3 linked regions of the Xenopus tropicalis genome follow. The protein of the gene in region 3 interacts with the protein of the main gene of each other region in a pairwise test. Links are inferred from orthologs where the notes say so. Each region holds a gene or a part of one and is shown on either strand. Other genes may lie near its edges.

The links.
Region 1: the proteins of bach2 (region 3) and batf3 interact in binary tests that used the Homo sapiens proteins (3 or more experiments, as listed by UniProt). The link is inferred for Xenopus tropicalis from reciprocal best matches to the Homo sapiens genes BACH2 and BATF3.
Region 2: the proteins of bach2 (region 3) and mafg interact in binary tests that used the Homo sapiens proteins (3 or more experiments, as listed by UniProt). The link is inferred for Xenopus tropicalis from reciprocal best matches to the Homo sapiens genes BACH2 and MAFG.

The regions. Positions count from the first base shown.
Region 1 is NC_030681.2:14,411,241-14,415,832, reverse strand, and holds the start of batf3 (basic leucine zipper transcriptional factor ATF-like 3), read right to left. Parts: upstream 2,881-4,592; coding exon 2,825-2,880; intron 2,256-2,824; coding exon 2,093-2,255; intron 976-2,092; coding exon 787-975; 3' UTR 1-786. UniProt on the Homo sapiens protein: AP-1 family transcription factor that controls the differentiation of CD8(+) thymic conventional dendritic cells in the immune system.
Region 2 is NC_030686.2:27,981,993-27,986,639, reverse strand, and holds the start of mafg (transcription factor MafG), read left to right. Parts: upstream 1-1,768; 5' UTR 1,769-2,844; coding exon 2,845-2,895; intron 2,896-4,647. UniProt on the Homo sapiens protein: Since they lack a putative transactivation domain, the small Mafs behave as transcriptional repressors when they dimerize among themselves.
Region 3 is NC_030681.2:85,092,643-85,097,067, forward strand, and holds the start of bach2 (transcription regulator protein BACH2), read left to right. Parts: upstream 1-1,204; 5' UTR 1,205-1,677; intron 1,678-4,425. UniProt on the Homo sapiens protein: Transcriptional regulator that acts as a repressor or activator. Binds to Maf recognition elements (MARE). Plays an important role in coordinating transcription activation and repression by MAFK.

The sequences.
Region 1 (4,592 bases), about 71 Mb from region 3:
AATTCACACACTCTAAAACTGATAAATACTAAAAAATCATTTAACAATTAATCCCAACAGGATTGTTTTGCCCCCAATAAGGATTAATTATATTGAGTTAGAAAGTAGGGGAAATAAAATAAACAAATGAATAGGGGGCTAAACATAATTTTTGTTTATTAATTTAACTAAGAAAAATCTATGTTATTTGATGTTTCTTGAGAAAACAGGGAAACTGACGCTGCTCCATGTTTGGTGCATAAATAGTAGATAGAAGTAGATAATTCGATTCCAGTGCACAGATAATCTCCCTGCATAATAGGCTGCTCCTAACAGAACAGTCACAACAAAGGGGAAGGGAGGGGGTTGAATACTGGTAATAACATTCTTGCAAGTAACAAACATAGAGCAGCTTTAGTTTCCTTATTTAGCTTGAGAAATAACAAAAATCATAGATTTCTTCTGATAAAAAAAACAATAATCCAAAAGTATGTTCAGCACAAGCCCTATTCATTGCGCTCATGTAGAACAAGGGGGTGTAGCGCTTGGCCTTCCTTAGACAAAGCAGCAGTAGAAACCAGGAGGTCAAGTTCTCATTTCCAGGAGCCATCTTGGTTTACAGGACATGGAACAGTGATAGGTAAGTTGTCGATTCCATCATATTTGTCTTTTCCCTGCAGTAACAATCACAGAGGTGTTTATGGCGTCATGCACCGGGGGGGGGGGGGGGGGGATTCTGTTGGCTTCAGGATACAGCAGAAAATGTGGCCGTAGGTCAAAGAGGAAATGACATTCACAGCCAGGAAGTCACCGCGGCAAACAGCCAGGAACAGCATCTGTCACTCGGGGCACCGTCACATAGTTCACTGGGCAGTGCAGAAACGGGCATATTTGCTCATGGTCCTTCAGAATTTGGCTAAGATGTTTCAGTTCATCTGTTAGTTTCCCGATTTCCTTCTTCAAGGATGAGTTTTCCTGTTCCAAACATTCATATTCCTGTCAAATGAGAGAAACAATGTTCATTAGAGAGAAAGTGGTCCTTTTAGGATCTGTCACTGCTGATGTATGGGAAACGTCATCTTGTGTATGGGCTACTCCCTCACCTGTATTAAGGCTTAATGGGGAACTATCATGAAAATAAAATGACAGATTACTGGTTGTATGGCTGTAAAGCTGGCCATACATGGGCAGATCTTCACCCGATATCCCCACCTACAGGTGGGCGATATCGGGGAGGCATGTAGGTGAATTCTACACGCGGCAATGGGGCAGTCGGATCGGGGGCCGCATCAACGAACAACCAATTTCAGGCCAGATATCGGTCGGCCAGGCCCCTCGGTTCTGCCACTACACAGGCCGATAAGCTGCCGAATTGGTCCAAGGGACCGATATCGGCAGCTATAATCGGCCCGTGTATGGGGACCTTAAGAGTAGAAGGAGAATACAATTTGTGTTTCCTCCAGTTCCTGTTACCCACAGCAGGTCAGCACTGGGACCCATTTCAATTACACAGAGGTACAAACAGCCCCCAGCAGCCCAATAAATAGTGACTGTGGCACCTTACAGCCCCTCTGGCATTTGCCAGAATCCACAGATTGCCAGTCTGGGCCTGACCCACAGCAACCAGATGGCTCAATTTACTATAAATACAGGTCATATATTGGTTGCTGTGGGTTACTAGAACTAGAGCAAACTTCTAATTGTTATTTTTAGCTTTCCTTTGAATTCAAAGACATCTGTTTCAAAAGCAACAAAAAAATATTTCCAAGTCCCGTCCACCATGTGCTTGTGCTCCACTCTTGCACAGCCCACAAACCTCCTATCCCACTGGAATCTAGATTATATTGGGTCAGTTGGGACCACTGCATCCCGTTATTCCCAGTTTAAATTGGGAGATATTTGCGGTTGTGATTCAAATATACTATGCCTACTTTCAACCAGCCATACCCCATTCCAACCAAACCATATCAATTTCCTAGTAAACCCCTCCACTTAAGGTATGCAAGGAAGAACCATTGCAAAAGCAAGCAACCTGCTCCCCTATAGATGGCTGCTGGACCTGTAGTTCAGCAATATCTAAAAGGATGATGGGTTTCCAACCCTTGTACTGTACCTCATGCAGTTTGTCAGCTTTCTGTGTTTGTTTTTTCCGGCTTCTCTGGGCAGCAACTCTGTTCTTTTCTCTCCTGCGAACCTTCCTGTCGCTGGTATCTGAGCTCTGAAAGAGAGAGAGGAGAGTGTAAAGTGGGTATAGGCAGCATTTATAGGTGCATTTCCTTTATTTGGAACACCATGCCCGCTAAAAAAAGATCTAAACATGAAATAATCCCAACAGGATTGTTTGGCCCCCAAAAAGGGGTAATTATATCTTAGTTGGGATCAAGTACAGGTACTGTTTTATTATTACAGAGAAAAGGGAATCATTTAACCATGAAATAAACCCAATAGGGCTGTTCTGCCCCCAATAAGGGGTAATTATATCTTAGTTGGGATCAAGTACAGGTACTGTTTTATTATTACAGAGAAAAGGGAATCATTTAACCATTAAATAAACCCAATAGGACTGTTCTGCCCCCAATAAGGGGTAATTATATCTTAGTTGGGATCAAGTACAGGTACTGTTTTATTATTACTGAGAAAAATTGAATAAATAAATAAAAATTATTCAATTATAATGGAGTTTATGGGAGATGGTCTTCCCGTAATGTGGAGGTTTTTGGATAATGGGTTTCCGGATAAAAGGCCCCATACATGTATTTCTAGAACTGTGAAAAGTATAAAGCAGTTTGACCAAACACTGCAATCTCTTGGCATTGTCACTGTACCACCCAAACATTGTGACAACCACACAAAGATGCATTTGACCATCAGGATGCCCAGAGCCAAGTCTACAACCTTCATGCCAGGCTTGGGGGAGATGCCAGCTAATTGGATTCTGCACAGACATTCAATGATCCTCTCCTATAGGCAGGTTTCATGTGTAAGTAAAGGGCTGCGACTGCACCCAGTGAGTAAGTGTGAGCTCTGCCGCAAGTGTTTCTGATGAACAAGCCACTTCCTTTTCAGCTCATTCGAGTTTGTTTACTGCTAAGCTCTTGAGCTCTTACTAATGGAGTTCAACCACAACACAGAGGAAAGATTTAATACTCAGTTCTGAAAGTGGGTTGTCTAAGATTCTCTTTTTAGGAATTAAAAAAGGAAATAATTGTTAATTTTGAGCATTTAAAAAGCATAACCAGTCTATAGACCTTATAGGTGAATATTGTATGATTTAGTCAGATGGGTAGGTGGGCAGAAGATCACAGTCTGTCATCATTAGATCTCTCACTAGGGTTGCCAACTGGCCAGTATTTTACCAGTCAGTCAAGCCGACCCTTCCTGCCAAATAGGAAAGAAAAGACAACAGACATAGCAATGTTGGTATCTTGTCCCCAGGAAACATGGCAGCCCTACCCACCATCCAATCAATGGCAGCAGGCCAGATCTTCTTTTTAGATGGTGTGACTGTGGCCCCATGGGAAAGCAAGAGAATCTGCTAAAGTGAAGGAAAACTAAAACCCAACAAAGAATTGACATAGATATGTTACACCTTATGTTGTACCAGTCCAAGGCGGCAAGAACCCTTTAGAAGTTAAGATCTGTGCCTCTGAAGATGCCCCCAGTAATTCCCTGCTATGTCCCAGCACCTGCTCTGGACTGCTGTCATTTACCTCAGCTTAGGGACTAACCAATATACCTTTATACATAATATACAGAATACCACTTGAGTATAAGCCAATCCAAATATAAGCCGAGGTACCTAATTTTACCTAAGAAAACTGGAAAAACTTATTGACTTAGCTACTGCTAAGTTTCAATAATCAAAATAAAAACCAGTAAATTACATTAATTGAGGCATCAGTGGGGTATATGTCTTTAAATATTTATTTAAAAGAAAAACAGTAAACTAGCTCTGTAAGTGTTAAAGAGGGTCAACAAAAACAATATGAGTACTACCCCACTATCATTGCACATTGGCAAACTGGCAGCAGACCCAGTCCCGGAGGAGATGTAAGGGGAAATAAGTATTGCTACAGGGAGCCTAGGCCAGGGCACTGGAGGGTCTGGTTGCGGGGGGCCTAATTTGCACACAAAGGAGAGAGGGTGCTAGTCTAGAGAGACCCATGGCACCCAACTCAAGTATAAGCCGAGGGTGACTTTTTCAGCACATTTTGGGTGCTGAAAAACTAGGTTTATACTCGAGTATATACAGTATATAGAATAATATTAGCATATACAGATTATATAGAATTTTAGCCCATTAGACCTAGCTTGGATCTGAGCTGTTACATTTAAGGGGTTGTTCAGCTTTAGTATGACACAGAGAGTAATATTAGACAATAATATAAACAATAATATAGACAATTTGCAATTGGTCTTCATTTTTTATTATTTGTGGTTTTTTTTTAATTATTTCACTTAGTTCAGCAGCTCTCCAATTTGAATTTTCAGCAGTCATTTGGTTGCTAGGGTTTAAATTAACTTAGCAACCAAGCAGTGGTTTGAATGAGAGTCTGGAATATGAATAGGAGAGGACCTGATCAGAAAAAAAAATGATAAAAAGTAATTATAAC
Region 2 (4,647 bases), on a different chromosome or scaffold from region 3:
CTTGAGTGTATGGAATGGGGGACCAGTCCTCCTTTTCCTACAATAGCCAATTTTCCTTTTGCAAAAGAGTCACTACTTCTGCTCCTCGGAACTACAGCCTCTCCAGAATAATATACAACCATCCACATGGCTTCCAGTTCACACATGTACAAAGTTCTGCTGGCCCATCATAGTTGCCTTGGCTGTTGGACATGCTTTGGACATGCCTTGCTGCAAGTGGTTGCTGGGCCTTCTTATCCCTCCCAGCAGGGCCGGATTTGTCTTCTGGGCGCCCCTAGGCCACCCCCGTTGACCCCCCCCCCCCCCAACGCGCATGCGCGAACGAGTGAACAACCACCTGCGAGCACGCATACGCACACATTTAAAGTCCCATAAGATGTTCCCACCGCTCCGAATGGAAAAAAACTTTAAAAACCCTGTTGCGGGGGGCGTGCCGCCCCTACATTTCTGCCGCCCTAGGCCCAGGCCTTTATGGCTTCTCCACAAATCCGGGCCTGCCTCCCAGTCAAGTTATGGTACAGCTTTTGGATGTCCCCATACGTCTGCAGGACAGGAAGAGCAGCCTAGAGAAAATGAGATTTTCTTACTGGTAAATCCTTTTCTTGGATTTACTGTCAGTGCAGTAAGCCCCCCCCTTATCTCCTTTAGAGTAGTTGGCCTATGGGGTACCTGGCTATGCTGCCATGGTTATACAGTTGCTTAAAATTTTTGTTTTGTTCTTCCTTTTCCATCTAGTTATCCTTCAACAGTTTTTTTATGTACTCTTTCTTATCCTATCCTGTGTTTTTTGTTTTTTTTAAATACAGCCTCATCGCAGGTGAGCCACCTGCACCTGGAGAGAGCTCCTAGCGCACGCAGCCATGTTATTTAGTGCACATTAATAGCTGTGACAAGTAGCTGCTACTAAGTAGCTCCATGTGTCTTCACCCTTAGAGTTGTTAAACTAGGAGTATCTCACGGTTCCACTGTTAATAAAAAGACCCATTTGGATTCCTGGAAAACTACCCATTTGAAAATATATGAATAAACCTCACGCTCCAGGTATACTCTCTTTACAAATTGAACTATCCTCCAATGTGGGAAAAAAAGTAAGAACTTATTATCCCAATGGACTAAATACAAAATATCCTGGTTAGGACGAAGATGTTTATTTTACCAAAACTATATTTTTTTCACTCCCTACTTATTCCAGTACCTAAGACTGGGCTCATTACTTCACAAAAACTTTTAAACAGGTTCATATGGAATCATGGCTACCCTTGTGTTTTGGGTGCCATTTTATGTAAACATAAGAAAAGTGATGGTTTAAATTTTCTCAGTTCATTAAAATATTATCAGGCAGCTCAAATATCTCCTATAACTGTATTACGTTTCCGATTAACACAATTTTTTTGTGGTTAAAATCACAATATGCCAAAAATTTAGAGTAACCACGATAATTTCTGATGTTCGAAAATTATTTTATCGGTCGTACGAAAATATTATGGTTCGTTTTGAAAGTCACAAAATTTTCGGATCTGAACGTTCAGAAATGGCCCAAAAACCTTTCTGGCTTTGAAACCTTCAATGCATGATTTTGAAAGCCTTCCCAACTTGGCCAAAAGATAGTCACGATACCAAAGCTTGAATAAATTCCGAAATGATTGCAGTCTTTACGAAAAATACGACTTTCTTGTGGAAGTTAACGAAAACCACGAAAAAGTTGTGACATTTTAATGAAATTATCGTGGACATTACGAAAAGTTCAATAAATTAGAAAAAATACAATTTTTTCTCAAAAATAAAAATTGTGGTTTAATGAATGGGCCCCTAAGTGTAAGGGATTTCAGTTTTATCCATTTGCCTTCCATGACAAGCAGGCCCTAGAGCCTAGACCCTCAAAGTTTGTTTGTAAACATCCTGTAACTAGGATGAAACACAGTAGTAGTCACTGCAGACTATGAAATATTTCATTTCCAGTAACATGTAATATTTGATGGTATCCTTTAGCCAAACCTTAAACCATGTGACCAGCCTAAGAAAGTCTTGCTCAGCTGCAGCATCTGACTTCAGATCTCCCCTAATGTTGCTTCCTCCTTCCACTTTGGTCCAAATTTCATCCATGAAGTTAAGGATGGATATAAGGCTAAGATATTAATGCTAAACCTCACGTTAGGAAGCATTTTAATAAATATAGATGTTTTCAAAAGAACCCAGGATACTTCCCATAGTAATAGGGTTACAATGCTTACCAACAAAACCAAACCTTCTTTTAGGTAGTTAAATGTTATACTTATCTATTTCTTATCTAAAACTTTTGTCCTTTCTTCATCTTTATGACAATTACAACCTGAACTGCATCTTTGTTTTATAATATTTATTTGAATTTCTGCTCTTTCAAAACATTCCCTTATCTTTAGAATTGTCATCCGACAGACTTCCGGTAAAAAAAATCTTCCACGTTCAGCTACTCCCCTTCCTGTGATATCACATTGTCCAATAAGCACAGATCAGACCTGTGCTGGCTCCCACCTCTTTAAAGCCACAAGCTCCTCTGCCGGGGAACACAGAAATGTGGTTCCAGTGGTACAAATGTATTTTCCCAGTGTATCTTCAGGAGGCAGTTGCTAAACCCATTAGCTGTTGCTAAGTGGCAATCCTATCCCTAGAATAAATATTGTTTGCTGGTCATAAATTCCTGCAAACGCTTCTTTATTTCATCCTGGGCAACGGAGTTACTAATCCTGTAGCCTGCCTCCTTGCTTAGCTGTCCATCTGTCACCCTGCCCTCCTCTAATTCTGATTGGATGTGCTGCCAGAACCTGTGTGAGTGACATGATGCACACTGGGTTCTCCGTTAGCTGAATGGAAACGTTTTCTCCCCCTCCTTCCCCTCCCTGTTGGATAACAGAAAAGGTATGCTTTTTTTTTTCATTTTCTGCAGTCACAGTAGAAATATGAGACATGGGCTCTGTACAGGGAAAATTATTTTTGCACAGCAGCTGTCAGTTGTGTGGGCTCTGAGTTTAGGAACAAAAAAGAGAGAATATTCATTGAAACGCCTGGAGCGGAAAAGGGAATGCAAATTTTTTTGGAGGGGGGTGGGGCATGGTATTCTTTCATCTATATGACAATTACAGGCTGAACTGCATGTTTGATTCATAAGCCCCATTTGCCCTGTTCCAAGGCGTATGGGTCCAGGGGCACTGGAGACAAGCAAGGCTTATTTACAGATGGGAAGGCACACATTGTGTTGTGTTTCCTTTCATCCTGGCATCCTGGGCAATTCAGCTACTGATCATGCAGCCTGCCTCCTTGCTTAGCAGTCCATCTTCTGCCCCGCCCCCTCTGCTTGTGATTGGATGTGCTGCCAGGCACTGTGTGAGTGACATGCCCCACACTGGTTCTCTGTCGGCTGAATGGAACCACTTGCTCCCCCTTCTCCCTCCTTCCCCCTCCCTGTTGGATAGCAGAAAAGGTATGCTTTTTCATCTTCTGCAGTCACAGTGGAAATATGCAATGTGCGCCCTGTATGGGGAAAAGGGTTGCTAACAGAAATTCATAGACTCTCAGCAGGTGCAGAGACTATATTCTCTTGCCTTATAAATGTATTCATTAAATGCAGGCTTCTGGGCTTTTGCCTTATAAATGGATTGAATGTATTCTGCCTGGAGAGCTGTTTTCTGTGCCTCTTTTATTCTTCCCATCTCTAATGTGTACAACTGGGAGTTCTCGGCCTCTCTTGATTAACTGGCTATGCAGGTACTGATAACATGGTGTGAAACTAAGTTTAATACTATATTTGGCGCATATACAGTGGTGTGAAAAACTATTTGCCCCCTTCCTGATTTCTTATTCTTTTGCATGTTTGTCACACAAAATGTTTCTGATCATCAAACACATTTAACTATTAGTCAAAGATAACACAAGTAAACACAAAATGCAGTTTTTAAATGAGGGTTTTTATTATTTAGGGAGAAAACCTACATGGCCCTGTGTGAAAAAGTAATTGCCCCCTGAACCTAATAACTGGTTGGGCCACCCTTAGCAGCAATAACTGCAATCAAGCGTTTGCGATAACTTGCAACAAGTCTTTTACAGCGCTCTGGAGGAATTTTGGCCCACTCATCTTTGCAGAATTGTTGTAATTCAGCTTTATTTGAGGGTTTTCTAGCATGAACCGCCTTTTTAAGGTCATGCCACAACATCTCAATAGGATTCAGGTCAGGACTTTGACTAGGCCACTCCAAAGTCTTCATTTTGTTTTTCTTCAGCCATTCAGAGGTGGATTTGCTGGTGTGTTTTGGGTCATTGTCCTGCTGCAGCACCCAAGATCGCTTCAGCTTGAGTTGACGAACAGATGGCCGGACATTCTCCTTCATGATTTTTTGGTAGACAGTAGAATTCATGGTTCCATCTATCACAGCAAGCCTTCCAGGTCCTGAAGCAGCAAAACAACCCCAGACCATCACACTACCACCACCATATTTTACTGTTGGTATGATGTTCTTTTTCTGAAATGCTGTGTTACTTTTACGCCAGATGTAACGGGACACGCACCTTCCAAAAAGTTCAACTTTTGTCTCGTCGGTCCACAAGGTATTTTCCCAAAAGTCTTGGCAATCATTGAGATGTTTTTTAGCAAAATTGAGATGAGCCTTAATGTTC
Region 3 (4,425 bases):
GTCATAAAAGTGTTATTGATGTGGTAAATATTAAACTGCTACATATTATTACATAAATCTGATGTTTCATTTTTGGATGATTTTAAAAGAAAAACTTTAAAAGTTAATAAGCATACATCCACTCTTTGCAAAAGGAAAAATGCAAATTGCAAAACCTAAACTTGTGAAAAATATAAACAAAATACAAGGCAGAGGCAAATGTGCTGAGGGGGTTGTGTACAATACAGTTTTCCCCACACATATGCCAAAAGTCAAAAATGACACTTGCTGTATATTGTGGTATGCAGTGACATATTTCTGACATGAGACATGCCCATGCTTGGCAAGTCAGTTTCTCAGGTACATTAAAGCAGTTGGAATTCCGTCCACACCAACTATCTGTAAAACACCGCTACATATTTCATGAAATCAAAGCTTTATTCACATGGTGTCAAAAACAGTACATGAACATGTAGGGAACTAATGCATTTCGCACATTTCAACAAGCATTTTCTCAGAGCTGAGCAGTGCTGCATTATTCACTCTTCTGAATGTAAGTTGCTTCCTTGCTCAAATGTACATTATGTTATAAATTTGGACTATATGAATGTCTGAAATCTACATACTAATATCTATCTTGAGCAAAGACTTTCATTTATTTATTTGTAAAAATCAAAAAAATAGATAGCAGGTAGCCATTTTTCTATACTGTATTAAGCTACATAATGAGCACAAAAAGTGCCAACATATCCTGCAACACTATACAACAGAATGGTGCATCCATTAAATGACATGGGTACAAGACCCTTTATGTGCAGTTATATATATATATATATATTTACAAGTTTACAGGCAGCAGAGAAAAAAAAAGTCGCTTTATTAAGTGCAACTAAGCACACTTTTTCCAAGTGTATAAATAAAACTATTCGGTGCACGTAATAGTGTCGGTGTCAGTTGAAATGAAATATTTTATTTGCAAGCCAGAGCAAGTAAATGGAGTAGAGTGCTGAGAGCACCCATTACATTCCCATGAAGGAAGGGGTGAATCAATATTACTAGCTCACAGTTGTAAACAATGCCTCCATTGTGCAATGAGTCACAATACAACAGGATATGTGACACTGCGCCTCAGGAGCTCACAGTAGATGTCAGTAACGAGTCTCCGAGCCGATTTGGACAGCCAATAAACAAGCAGGGAGGCAGAGAAGGAGGCAGAGGGGTGGGCGGGCCCTTCAGAGAGCAACAAACACACGGCAGTCACACACGCTGCCTGGCAATCAGGAGGGAGAAAGGGGCAGTCACACACTCTGGGAGATACACAAATACACACAGGCGAGTGGCCATGCTTGTACTACAGTGCAACCCTAGGTCATTAAGCTGAGCCCGTACATTCAGAGCATCTGTGGCACAGCCCGGACTGACAACTGCACAGGCACACAAACACACACATCAGCCACAAACAAGGGCTGCAGCGGTAGCAGCTCCGTCTCCCCTCGGAAAGCCTTCCTCTTTGCAAGGCGGTGGGGGTGGATCGTGATTGAGAAGCTCTCCTTGGCTCCTGGGAACAACAACAACAACAGAAAAAAAGCAGCAGCAGCAGTCGCTGCCATGTGATGGGTCCCTTTGCGGTCCGCTGGGAATGCTACAAATAAAGAAGAAGATCGAGTGAAAGAAGGAGGAATTGAAAGTGCACGGGAGGTGAGTCCATTGGCTGGGGGGGGGGGTCCCTGCAGGTTTGGTACAGCTGACACCTGGCTAAGAATGTCAAACTGCAACCACCTTAGCATGTGTGACACTTTGGTCCTCAGATGTTGAGGGATGCTGGGATTTGTAGTCCTATATAAATATTTCCGGCCTGAGTGCTGTCCGGATTTCGCACAGGAGCTGCATTGTTACAGCGCGGGGAGACATTCCTGTTCCGTGCGGTTCCCGGGTGTCAGTGTGGGGTTATGGGAGTAGCAGGCTGAGCCCAGCTTGGCTCTTGCTGTGCTGTGCTTATAGAGAGAGAGGGGCAGCTGTCATAATTATTATATTGCCTTTAACCCACGAGTGGTGCTGGGTAACAATGTGCAGTTGTGGGTATCAGGGCAGCCCAAGGTGCCATTCACAGCGGCTTTTATGAGGCCGGAGAGTCAATGAGCGACTTATCCAGGCAGCAGGGTAGCACAAGGTGAAGCTGCTTTGCTGAGTTGGTTGTGCTGAGCACAGTGGGGCTGCCCCCCGTCACTGCTGCCTGCAAGCACTACTCAGCATATTTAGCAGCAGCACCAGGCGGCTTCTTAGCTTTGGTCAGGGTTTCGTGTTGGCAAAGCCGTCTCACAGTATTTATAATGCCAGTGAATCCTAAATAACAATGTGTGCGTTGGCAGTGAAGTGTTGAGACGTAAAAAAAGCCATTCAGTTTGGTGCCGTTATGTAGCAGCATTGCAATGTGTGTTGGTAGAGATTCATTCATATTAACAGACCCTAGCAGGGCTGGTAGGGTGACACTTCTATAGCTTGCCTGCTGGATTTTGTCACACATCATAGATCAGCAGACTTTGACCTTCAGCTCTCCATCTGTTGTTGGCCTGCACCATCTAGCTCCCCCTGAAAGCCTTTGCTTGTGTATGTGTGCTGAAAAAGCCGTAGTTCAACCTGTGCAAGAGTGCTGCAGGTCAAACTGTATTACCCCTGTTTTAAAGATTCTGTTTATGGTGGGTTCAATATTGAACTTTTAACATTTTCCCTATATTCTACAGGCTTATGTCATGTATGTATGATATGTCCGATTTCATTGCCTTTGATTAGTGAGCAGATCACCAGCATATTGAGTGGTGTGTAGTGATTTCATGCAGGGAATCAGGCATGGTATGCTATTTGTATTACTGGTGACCACAAGCACTTTTCTTAACCTGCATAATATTAAATAGGTGATATTTATAACGTTCTTCCCTTCAACCCAATGGGCTATCGTTAATTAAAACCCAGTTTATTTTGTGGTGTCATTAAACCCATCATAATGTTTACTGTCCCAAAAACACAACTGCTAACCTGATGCTAAGCTAAGCCGTTTATTCACCATTACAGCTGAATTTCCAAGCAGTGGGGTTAATGCCGTTTCTCAAATGTCAATTCATCAGCAAAATGTGTTTCCTCGACTCTGACCAATGTGGTTCAAAGAGTTTTCACAGTAGATTTCCTCTGCCGGTGTATTTAAGCGAAAAGGATAATAACACTCAGCTGCAAAGCATAAATAGTAAATTTGCCTCCCCAGTGGGGATAATAGTAAACATAATGCGATCTGCAGTAACATCCTGCTTGCTACCTAAACACTACGATTAGATGCCCAAATGTTGCAGTTCTGACACGCTGAACATGCTTTCCTGCTGGGAGTGTATCGTATGTAGTAAAAGTTGCAAACCTTGTATTTGGTCTAGTAACCCATTGCCACCAGTCAGGTGTAAGCTTTTAAACAGGTGGTTCACAGATACAACCTGCTTGGGGTAATTAGACATGCCGCAAACTTTGGGACTTTAACTACATTACCTCAGTGTTTTCCCATCTTTGCGAAGACCACAGGGAAAGTAATTTATATATACAAATGACTTATTCCCACATTGACAATCTGCGTTGGTGTCGTTTGTGCTATCCTGAGGTCTGGCGATGCGAAAGCAGTTTTGATGGTGGATTTTACATTTATTAGGAATTAGCCTGTATTTTCCTACTCTGTTTAGGTCTGCAGCAACGTGTTATAACAAAAGGATTGGATTTAGAAAATCCAAATTTTCTCTCATTTTTTTTAAAATTTCTTTTAGTCTTTTTTTTGTGTGCAATAGATTTGTCTTGTTTCTTATTTTTAAATTTAAAAAAAAAAAAAAACACCTAGAAAATGTGTAGAAATGTAAACATATAGTTACACTATGTAAACTATAGCATTTTATAAATATTCTGCGAGTAGTTAATCCGAAAATAGCAGCAAAATATAGTAGTCATTGGTGTTTTGCTGGTGTTTACTCAACAATGTAGTAAAAGTTCCCAGATCTAATAACCCAAGGCAACCTAACAGCTAGTAGGAATCTTTTAGTAAAAAAAAAAAAAAAAAGATTTGTTTGCAAAAGACTGCATGTCCTGGTGTAAGATGCTCTTGTGAACCTGTGTGGTATTTCTTCAGTTTATGTTGTTGAGTCAGATCAAGCCCATGTAGCAATTAGGGATGAAGGGAGTTTAGGGGGTAATTATAAATCTGTGGATAAAAAAAAAATCATTCCCAGGCGTGGAATCATCTGGTCTGTTTTAATGCAAATCAGTCATGTTTTGGGCCTTCCCACTGAACTAGTTGTGACTGGTTGTTTTCTGGGAGCTGTAGTTTAATAACAGCTGGAGTTTGCAGGTTGTCCATGATTGTCAAATGTAGGCTTCCTGTGCCAATATCTGCCATGTATTGAATGTATTTTAGTTCTCTGT